Bombyx mori: one gene and its partner. The protein of the gene in region 2 interacts with the protein of the main gene of each other region in a pairwise test. Links are inferred from orthologs where the notes say so. Each region holds a gene or a part of one and is shown on either strand. Other genes may lie near its edges. The genes, in order: formin-binding protein 1-like and actin nucleation-promoting factor WASL.

Region 1 (3,834 bases), about 9.0 Mb from region 2:
TTCATTTTGGTATATGAATGGTTACATAATTAATAAACTTGTTTCAATTATTTTACATTAAACATGTGACAGAATTTATGACCTGACTAGGTATAAACCATAATTCAGGGAATGGTTGCATTAATACCGAAATTAAATCATCTGAAAACAATGTCGATTATTTTAATTCAATGCTGTTATTATATTTTCGGCTCGTTCCAAGCCATTTTTTTTTATTGCTTACATGGGTGGACGAGCTCACAGCCCACCTGGTATTAAGTGGTTAATGGAGCCCATAGACATCTACGACGTAAATGTGCCACCCAAAGTATTCCGGGACCATGCACGCTCCAATAAATAATCTTCCACTCCACTCTATAGCCTCACCTTATTCGAACTGAATATGGAGAGTAGACCGCCGCGTTTCTTTAGCTTGTTCCCGGAGACGGTCCCCCGGGACGCCGTCAGGTGGTTGTGCGGCTGGTGATGGGTCGACGCCGAGTCTGTTGTGTCTGCCCCGGAAGCCAACTCGAACTGGAAATCTTCGGGCGGAACGAAACCAGACTTGTACCTGTCTATAACTAATTTTGTGTCCTGGAAACGAAGAGAGTAACTTTAACCGTTAAACCTATTTTTCTTTTTTTTATTGCTTAGATGGGTGCACGAGCTCACCGCCTACCTTGTGTTAAGTGGTCACTGGAGCCCATAGACAACTACAACGTAAATGCGCCACCCACCTTGAGATATAAGTTCTAAGGCCTCAAGTATAGTTACAACGGCTGCCCCACCCTTCAAACCGAAACGCATTACTGCTTCACGGCAGAAATAGGCGGGGTGGTGATACCTACCCGCGCGGACTGACAAGAGGTCCTACAACCATCACTATAACTATCTGTTTATATATATATATGTAAATGAATTTCTGTTCGTTAGTCTCGCTAAAATTTGAGAACGGCTGGACCAATTTGGCTAATTTGGGTCTCAAATTATTTGTGAAAGTCCAGAGAAGGTTTAAAAGGTAGATAAATATGAAAATGCTCGGAATTAAATAAAAATAACAATTTTGTTTTCCCTTTGATGTGTCCCCCGTCGGACGGATTCCTTTTATTTGTTTTAAGTTTATTTTATGCAAAAGTTTAGGTCTTTTATTCATCGATTGAGGCACTACGAAGTCTGCCGGGTCAGCTAGTTTATTATAATTATTATTTTTCCCTACCTAAGCTAGTGCTAGCCTTGAAAGGCTATGCCAGCGTAACCTAACAAGTTAATTAATGACACACTTGCTGAGGCTATAATATAAAAATAATTTTAAAAAACGAGTCGTACGCCATCTATTGGACGTTAATGGAACTAAGCCTTTTTTCATACCTATTCTAGTAACCTCGAGGGGTTATACTAGATTCACCGAACTTGTAGGTGAGCTCACAAGCTCTAACCTGACGAATTTGCCAACACGAGCCCTAGCAAGAGCAGTGCTTCACAGAATCTACCGCTGGATCGTAAACGCGACCCCCTGAGAAGATCCGGCGGGAAACTCAGTGGGCTTTGGCAAAGAGTTAATTTCGTCGTATTCGACGAAGGATTTGGCGAGAACGGTAACCGGTGCTTGGTGTACCTAAAAGCACTGATAGTGGATCGAGAGGATCCGGAATTACGTGTGTTAGGCGACGGCGACTGTTAACCTTTTGGTTCGCAGGAGCGGGTGTAGCGGCTAAGCCCTAAAGTGGTGATAACTGTACCAAAAGTTGTGCCACAACCAAATCAGTAGTACAGATGCATTGTTAATATTTATATTTTAATTATAAAGCATTTACCGTGTTGCAACCAACGGCATGAATCTTCCTGATCATATCACCGCAAGTGTGATATCAACAGGAAAATTCAAAACTCAAAACTCGTTATTGTTGTAAATACGGATTGTTATTTTATTACAAATATTATACAATATATTTAACATAAAAATATTTTTAGATTGTAAAAAAAAAAGATATTTAAGAAACAAATCGCTTAGTAACCCACCACGTCCGGTTTGAAGAATGCGAAAAGTGAATGGCTTTGAATAAAATATGTTAATAAAATTCACAGTACATAAATATATATAATTTCACTAAAACTAGTTTAAAACTTTTCATAAGAGTTGTGTTATTATAATTTAATATATATTTTTTTTAAATTACCTCTTTTTCATTAATACTATTTGCGGCCAGTTCCATCCCGTCAAAGCACTGAATGATGATCGGAAAAACTTTCCTTTCGACATCCACTGAACTTAACATAAAGTTCTTAATATTCTTTATTCGTTTCTCGTCCAAGTCCTGTTGCGAAGGAAATGAATATAGAATAAACAACAACAAAAAAACAAATTCTACCTACGACGAAAAAATAAATTTATTGGGCAACTTCCATAAATTCGGGCGTTGTAAAACACATCAATGTTTTTTTTTTCATTTTTATTTTTTAAATTTGTTGAATTTCGACATTTCCGAAAGCAGGTTACGTCACATATCACAATTATAGGCATTTTAAAATCGTATCTGTCTACCCGACCTAGTTGGCGTTCGGCCAGAGTGCACACTAAATAACGATGCATTCTGGAGAATGTAAGCGTAGCCACCGTCGATTATTTACATAAAATAACCGAATTTGGCTAGGATTTCATTCAATAATGTAATTTATCAATAATGTAAAAATTTATTGTATCCCAATTTCAAACAGTTCGTAAATGTAACAAAATGTATGTAGTTGTCTGTGAACCGGAGATACACAGGTTTAATTTCGTCAGATAGGACACGAAGCGATAGCTCATAATATTTATACACATTAAAGTATTTATGTTCTCTCTAAAAAAAATTCTCGCGACACGTTAAAAAGTTGTGTGAACTAGTGCAAAAACATCATCATCTGAATTTCTGAGATATCATTTCACCTTATGCATATTAATGTCGAAGAGACTGATGCGCGACATTGATACTATAATGTTATTTATGCTCACGTGCAAACGAAACTTCGTGAACAATTTTTTCAAATGTTTTTTTCATATGGACTTAAATAATTTAAGGCGGAAACTTTATGTTAGCATAATGAACTTTGAAATGGTCACGGATCTTCAATAAAATAACGATCAAATTAAATAGGCACATAAGAATATTTTAACATATTCAAATGTAATATAAATCGCATATATAATGTAAAATAAAGCACTCTCGGTTCATCTGCTCTGACTGAAGGCATCGCGACATGTTTTCTCATAAAGATACGGAAAAGTATTTAAGCTTTTAAATGTATATATATAACATGAGAGCCCGTTAATAGCAATTTAATACAAAAAAGAAGAAAATCGGATGACAAACGGAAGGGAAAAACGTAATAAAACGTTGTATCTTCGCCTATATACATAAAAATTAATGCACAAAATGAAGGCTTGCATTACACGTACTTGCAACTGTTTGAACACGTGCGGTAATCTCTGCTCGTAGTGTTGCCTCTGGGCTTCGTTCGTTTTGCGAAGCTGTTCTAGGTACTCCTGTTTCGCATCTTCGCACGCCTGACTCCTGAGTTTCATGTTCGCTTTTTGCTTCTCCAACTCTGCCCGACTGGAAACAAGTTTATTGATCCTGTCAAATCGCTAGTCGTAGGACGTGTTCTGCCGTGAAGCACTAATAAATGCGTTTCAGTTTCAAGATTGGGGCAGTCGTTGTACTATTATTAAATTGTGACTTCGAAGTCGTTGTTAACATCTAATGGCTACATTAACCACTTAACACCAGGGGGATATGAGGTCGTTCAGTAATAAAAAAAATGCGGAATATGCATTTGTAAAGAGCATCAAATTGCAGAATCCACGTCCAATCTATC
Region 2 (4,470 bases):
ATATGAGTACACCAGATGTTGCTTTAGGCCAAGACAACTTCATTATTATTATTATATGTACTATAAATACAATATTACATTATTTACTTTCAACATAGTTTTAAGCTTACCTCAGCTTCGAAAGTGTGTAAATAAGGCCTTGGGTTCTTATATTCTATCTGCATATAAACTTCGTGCTCCCATATCATTGCTTTTCGGTACAAACAGTAAATCCTGAAGAAGTATGAGCGCTTGCCATTGTCCTTTATAAGGCACAGTACACCAGTATCTCTCTTCTTCCATTCAGAATGTGCTGGACCTTCAGTTGTGAAGAGTTGAACAACTGTAGTTGCTAGACTCTGAAAACATTTTAAATTTTTAAATTATGTGTTGCTTGTGATGACTATGAAAGAGAGGGTCTTTCATCAGGCAAGTTTATTTTCCAGACAGCGGCCCGCAACATATGTCTAAATCAGAAAATAGTTTTGAATATAAATACTATTTTTTGGATACTACAATTCTTTGTCAAAATATAGGTATATTTTTTGGGCAATTCTCGGAAAGTATGTAGGCTTACTGGTGGTAGGACCTCTTGTGAGTCCGCGCGGGTGGGTGCCACCGCCCTGCCTATTTCTGCCGTGAAGCAGTAATGCGTTTCGGTTTGAAGGGTGGGGCAGCCACTGTAACTATACTGAGACCTTAGAACTTATATCTCAAGGTGGGTGGCGCATTTACGTTGTGGATGTCTATGGGCTCCAGTAACCACTTAACACCAGGTGGGCTGTGAGCTCGTCTACCCATCTAAGCAATAAATAAAAAATTGATGATGTGATTCAAATTTTCATTACAAATGCAAATCCTAAATCTGCCTAAAGCTCCCAAAGGGTATCTGATTTCACCAAATGACAGATTATTGTCACTATAGTATCTAGGCATATATGTAAATGGGTATTCTAAGATATTTTTAAGAATAAAAATCTTTATTTCAGTCGCAGATAAAATCCAATGCCGCTGAGGCTTCAATTTTGTTTTTAAAGGTAACAGAAACAAGATTATGGTATATATGTTGCTCCAAGAACTATGTATCGTACCACATTTAGATAATAATAGATAATAGATTTTATATTGAATAACACAATTTTTAGATAATATAATGATTAGAAAAATCTAAAAAGATAATATATAGATAATATATAGACTTTAGATAATATATTGAATAACACAATTCTTTTCTGAATCATTGAGTCAGTGAGTCATAATTATATTGAATCACATAAAAATATGCAAATCAGATACTAGTAATGAGGTGGGAAATATATTTTTATTGATAGTGGCTAACAACAGAGCTGACCCCGTATATTATTGATACAAGTAGTATATGAAGACCCATAGAACAGATGATAATATGGAGGGGTCCAAATGATTTGTGAATTTTTTATGTTTAATGATTTTTCATATATTTCAATAATTTGAAATCGTAGTGGTTTTCTTGTACAATATGGTACAAGATTATTATATTCATGGTTGTACTTGACCATTGTTTAATAAGAGATAAGTTGCGCTTTGAAATTTGTTGACTGATGATTTAATACTTGAAATTGTATAGATAATATTTATACAGACACTCCCAACAAACAATCTTTTTTATATTGGATTTATTAAATTTCTAAACTATAATCCACTACAGTAACATGTGTATGTATATTATGAATATATTGTATAATAGACAAGACATGCAAAACCAGTTGTCGTAATAAATACTTTACTGAGATCTGATATAGTAACAGACTTTCACTGTATGTCTTTATGGGGTGAAATTTCTATCATATGCAGGCTTTGAACACTTTCACGACATGACTGGTCGAAATGCAATTACACTTTTTCTGACTTGTTAAGATGTACTTTTAACTCTTTTTTGATTAGTGTTTTTTTTTTATAATTTAAACTGGGCAGCTAAGAGCACACATGATGTGGAATTATCAGTTTATAGAACTCTCAATATCAACCATAATTGTTTTGCCCCAAATTTTTCACATTAGAAATAGACAGGGACAGTTTCCACTGTTCAGAGGTTCACAAATAGTAAATATACTTTTTATATTATTTGAATTTCGTTTAGATTCTATTACTTTTATTTATTTCAGTGTCTTTCATGATTGTGTGAGAATAGTTTAATTTCAAAAAATTCCCTATCTGTGGGTTTTGAAACCCAATATGTGAGTTAATAATCATTTAGAATTTACGTTAGTTGAATATATAGTTTGTTGTACACAGAAAATATAAAAAAAATATAAAAATTCATTGTTGAAATTTGTATTGACAGTAATTTAATTCCTAAACATTGCTTGGGCCTGAAATGTCAAGCATTGTAGTCGGTCGGTTAAGTTCCGAGGGTTTATCAAAAGCCTTTTATACTATTAAAAAATTAAAAAGATTTGTAATTTTCATTAGATTTAAAACAAGACATTTAACGTTACAAGGAACAAGATAATATCTTAATCAATCATCCAGGCGATAGAATAGGACGCAAACAACTCTATCGTTTAGATAGCATAAGATAATACATTGATAGGGCTATAGATACGTAATCAAGGTGGACTGATTCAACGCGAGCTACTTTCATGAAGGATCTAAAAAGGATGATTAACTCACCTGACATTTTGGTCCTATTAGGCTGAACACCTGTTCGTTCTCCTCGCGTGACAGGAGATTTGTCGTTCTGTGCTCTCCCCTCGGCATCTTGCTTGCCTAACGTAGATATCACACATAAAATCACTATAAACACATGAAAACTGATGTGTCAGCTACAAAAACTCTTCTGCATTTTAATGTTGTTTTGTTCGTTTTATCTAGCCGCTGTTTTTACTGGGCCCATGTAAACATTTCTCATAAAATGGAAACATTCATCTCGAAAACTAAAAGTTCTTAGGAAACCGTTCTGATTTTGCAAATCTTCACTTTCTCCCTCTGTGAGCGTATTAACTTACTGTGCTGTTTGATCTGATTCAATGTGTATAGTGTATAGCATAGATTATACACTTAAGTGTATAGTCTATGGATTTTATTGTGCTCTCGAATATATTAAGTGTATAATCTATGGTGCTCACAGACTATATGCTACGTGTCGAGTTGCCAAGCATTCGCAAATTTGTTTTTATTTACCTACTATGTACACGAACAAAAAATTCCTTAGTGACATCTGTCTCTACACCCCTGATTTTACTTATTTCTTTCCTCCATAACTCAGGGTTAAAAACCGGTTCGTGCATATAAAATTTATTAGCCGATATCTGCGGCATCGGTGACTTGGTCAAGGAAATGTCAATATTTTTTTCTAGTGACACCTAATATTTAATAACGGTGCTAATGCACCAATGGTAACAATGCTAATAACCGCTTAGCATCTGTGAAAGTACCTAATTATAGAAAATTAAGAAAGTACTGTGGCTATTCAAAGTTTTCTAAGAAGTTCACTGAAGTATTAATAACTTCCGAGCATTTTTCTGGAACTTATTCCTTTGAACACGTCTCGTTTCAATCCATTTCATCACAGTAGATTAGGAGGTAAATCAATTTCATTTTTATGTACTACCTATTATTACAATGTGTCAATACACCAGTGAAACTTATGTGGGGTAAAATATGGGAATTTTTAGCGATAAATCACTATCCCAATTTTCTCTTGGCACCTCTATACTAGAATGACAGCCATTTTGTTTTTTTTTTACTTCGCAGTATGGAGGGTAGAGGCACCTCTACTTCGCAACTCAGGCGCCTACAATGATTTAATCATTGCAACATCTACATAATTTATTACTATATAGGTCTATGAATTTATGTGTACTATCTATGATCGATATAGACATATTAGGAATATGGAGGGTAGAGGTAAGGAGAACCGTCTCTGTGTGTGAAAAAGTGTCCGTTAAAACTGACTAAATAAGGGTGGCGCTACAGTAGCAACCGGGTAAATTTTAAAAAAGGCCCTGAAAGTTATTAGAATAAGATAGAGAAATAAAAAAGGACGAAAGACCTGTAAGCACTACAAAATCACAAAAAGTATATTATTTAAAGCTGATAAGAAAATGCAATCGATGTCTCCACCTTTTACCACAGCAATAATTTTAGGTTATATTGACGAAATTAGTTTGGACTACGTAAACTTGTGTATTACACTGTCACTAACTACAAATATATTAAATTTCCTAACTCAGCATACTTCAATCAGTTAAAAACTGCTCAATTCATATCATACCCTGTGCCTATGCTAGCGCCATTCTGGAGGATTTTTGAACTGTTAGTTATTGCTGAAAGTGCGACACTTTTTCAAGCTTCTTCCATATGAGACGGTTCTCCTTACCTCTACCCTCCATAATTAGGAAGACGAAAGAGGTGTCATTTGAAAGCTAACGATGTAGACAATAAATTTTTTCGCAAGTTAAAAAGTATGTATTAATAAAATAAAAATTTAATAATGTTTTATTGCATTTT

Evidence for each region.
Region 1: the proteins of actin nucleation-promoting factor WASL (region 2) and formin-binding protein 1-like interact in a two-hybrid assay, tested with the Drosophila melanogaster proteins (3 studies listed by BioGRID, with this or other methods). The link is inferred for Bombyx mori from reciprocal best matches to the Drosophila melanogaster genes WASp and Cip4.

The regions. Positions count from the first base shown.
Region 1 is NC_085121.1:6,519,998-6,523,831, reverse strand, and holds part of formin-binding protein 1-like, read right to left. Parts: intron 3,573-3,834; coding exon 3,416-3,572; intron 2,295-3,415; coding exon 2,157-2,294; intron 574-2,156; coding exon 367-573; intron 1-366.
Region 2 is NC_085121.1:15,494,812-15,499,281, reverse strand, and holds the start of actin nucleation-promoting factor WASL, read right to left. Parts: upstream 3,038-4,470; 5' UTR 2,719-3,037; coding exon 2,632-2,718; intron 339-2,631; coding exon 111-338; intron 1-110.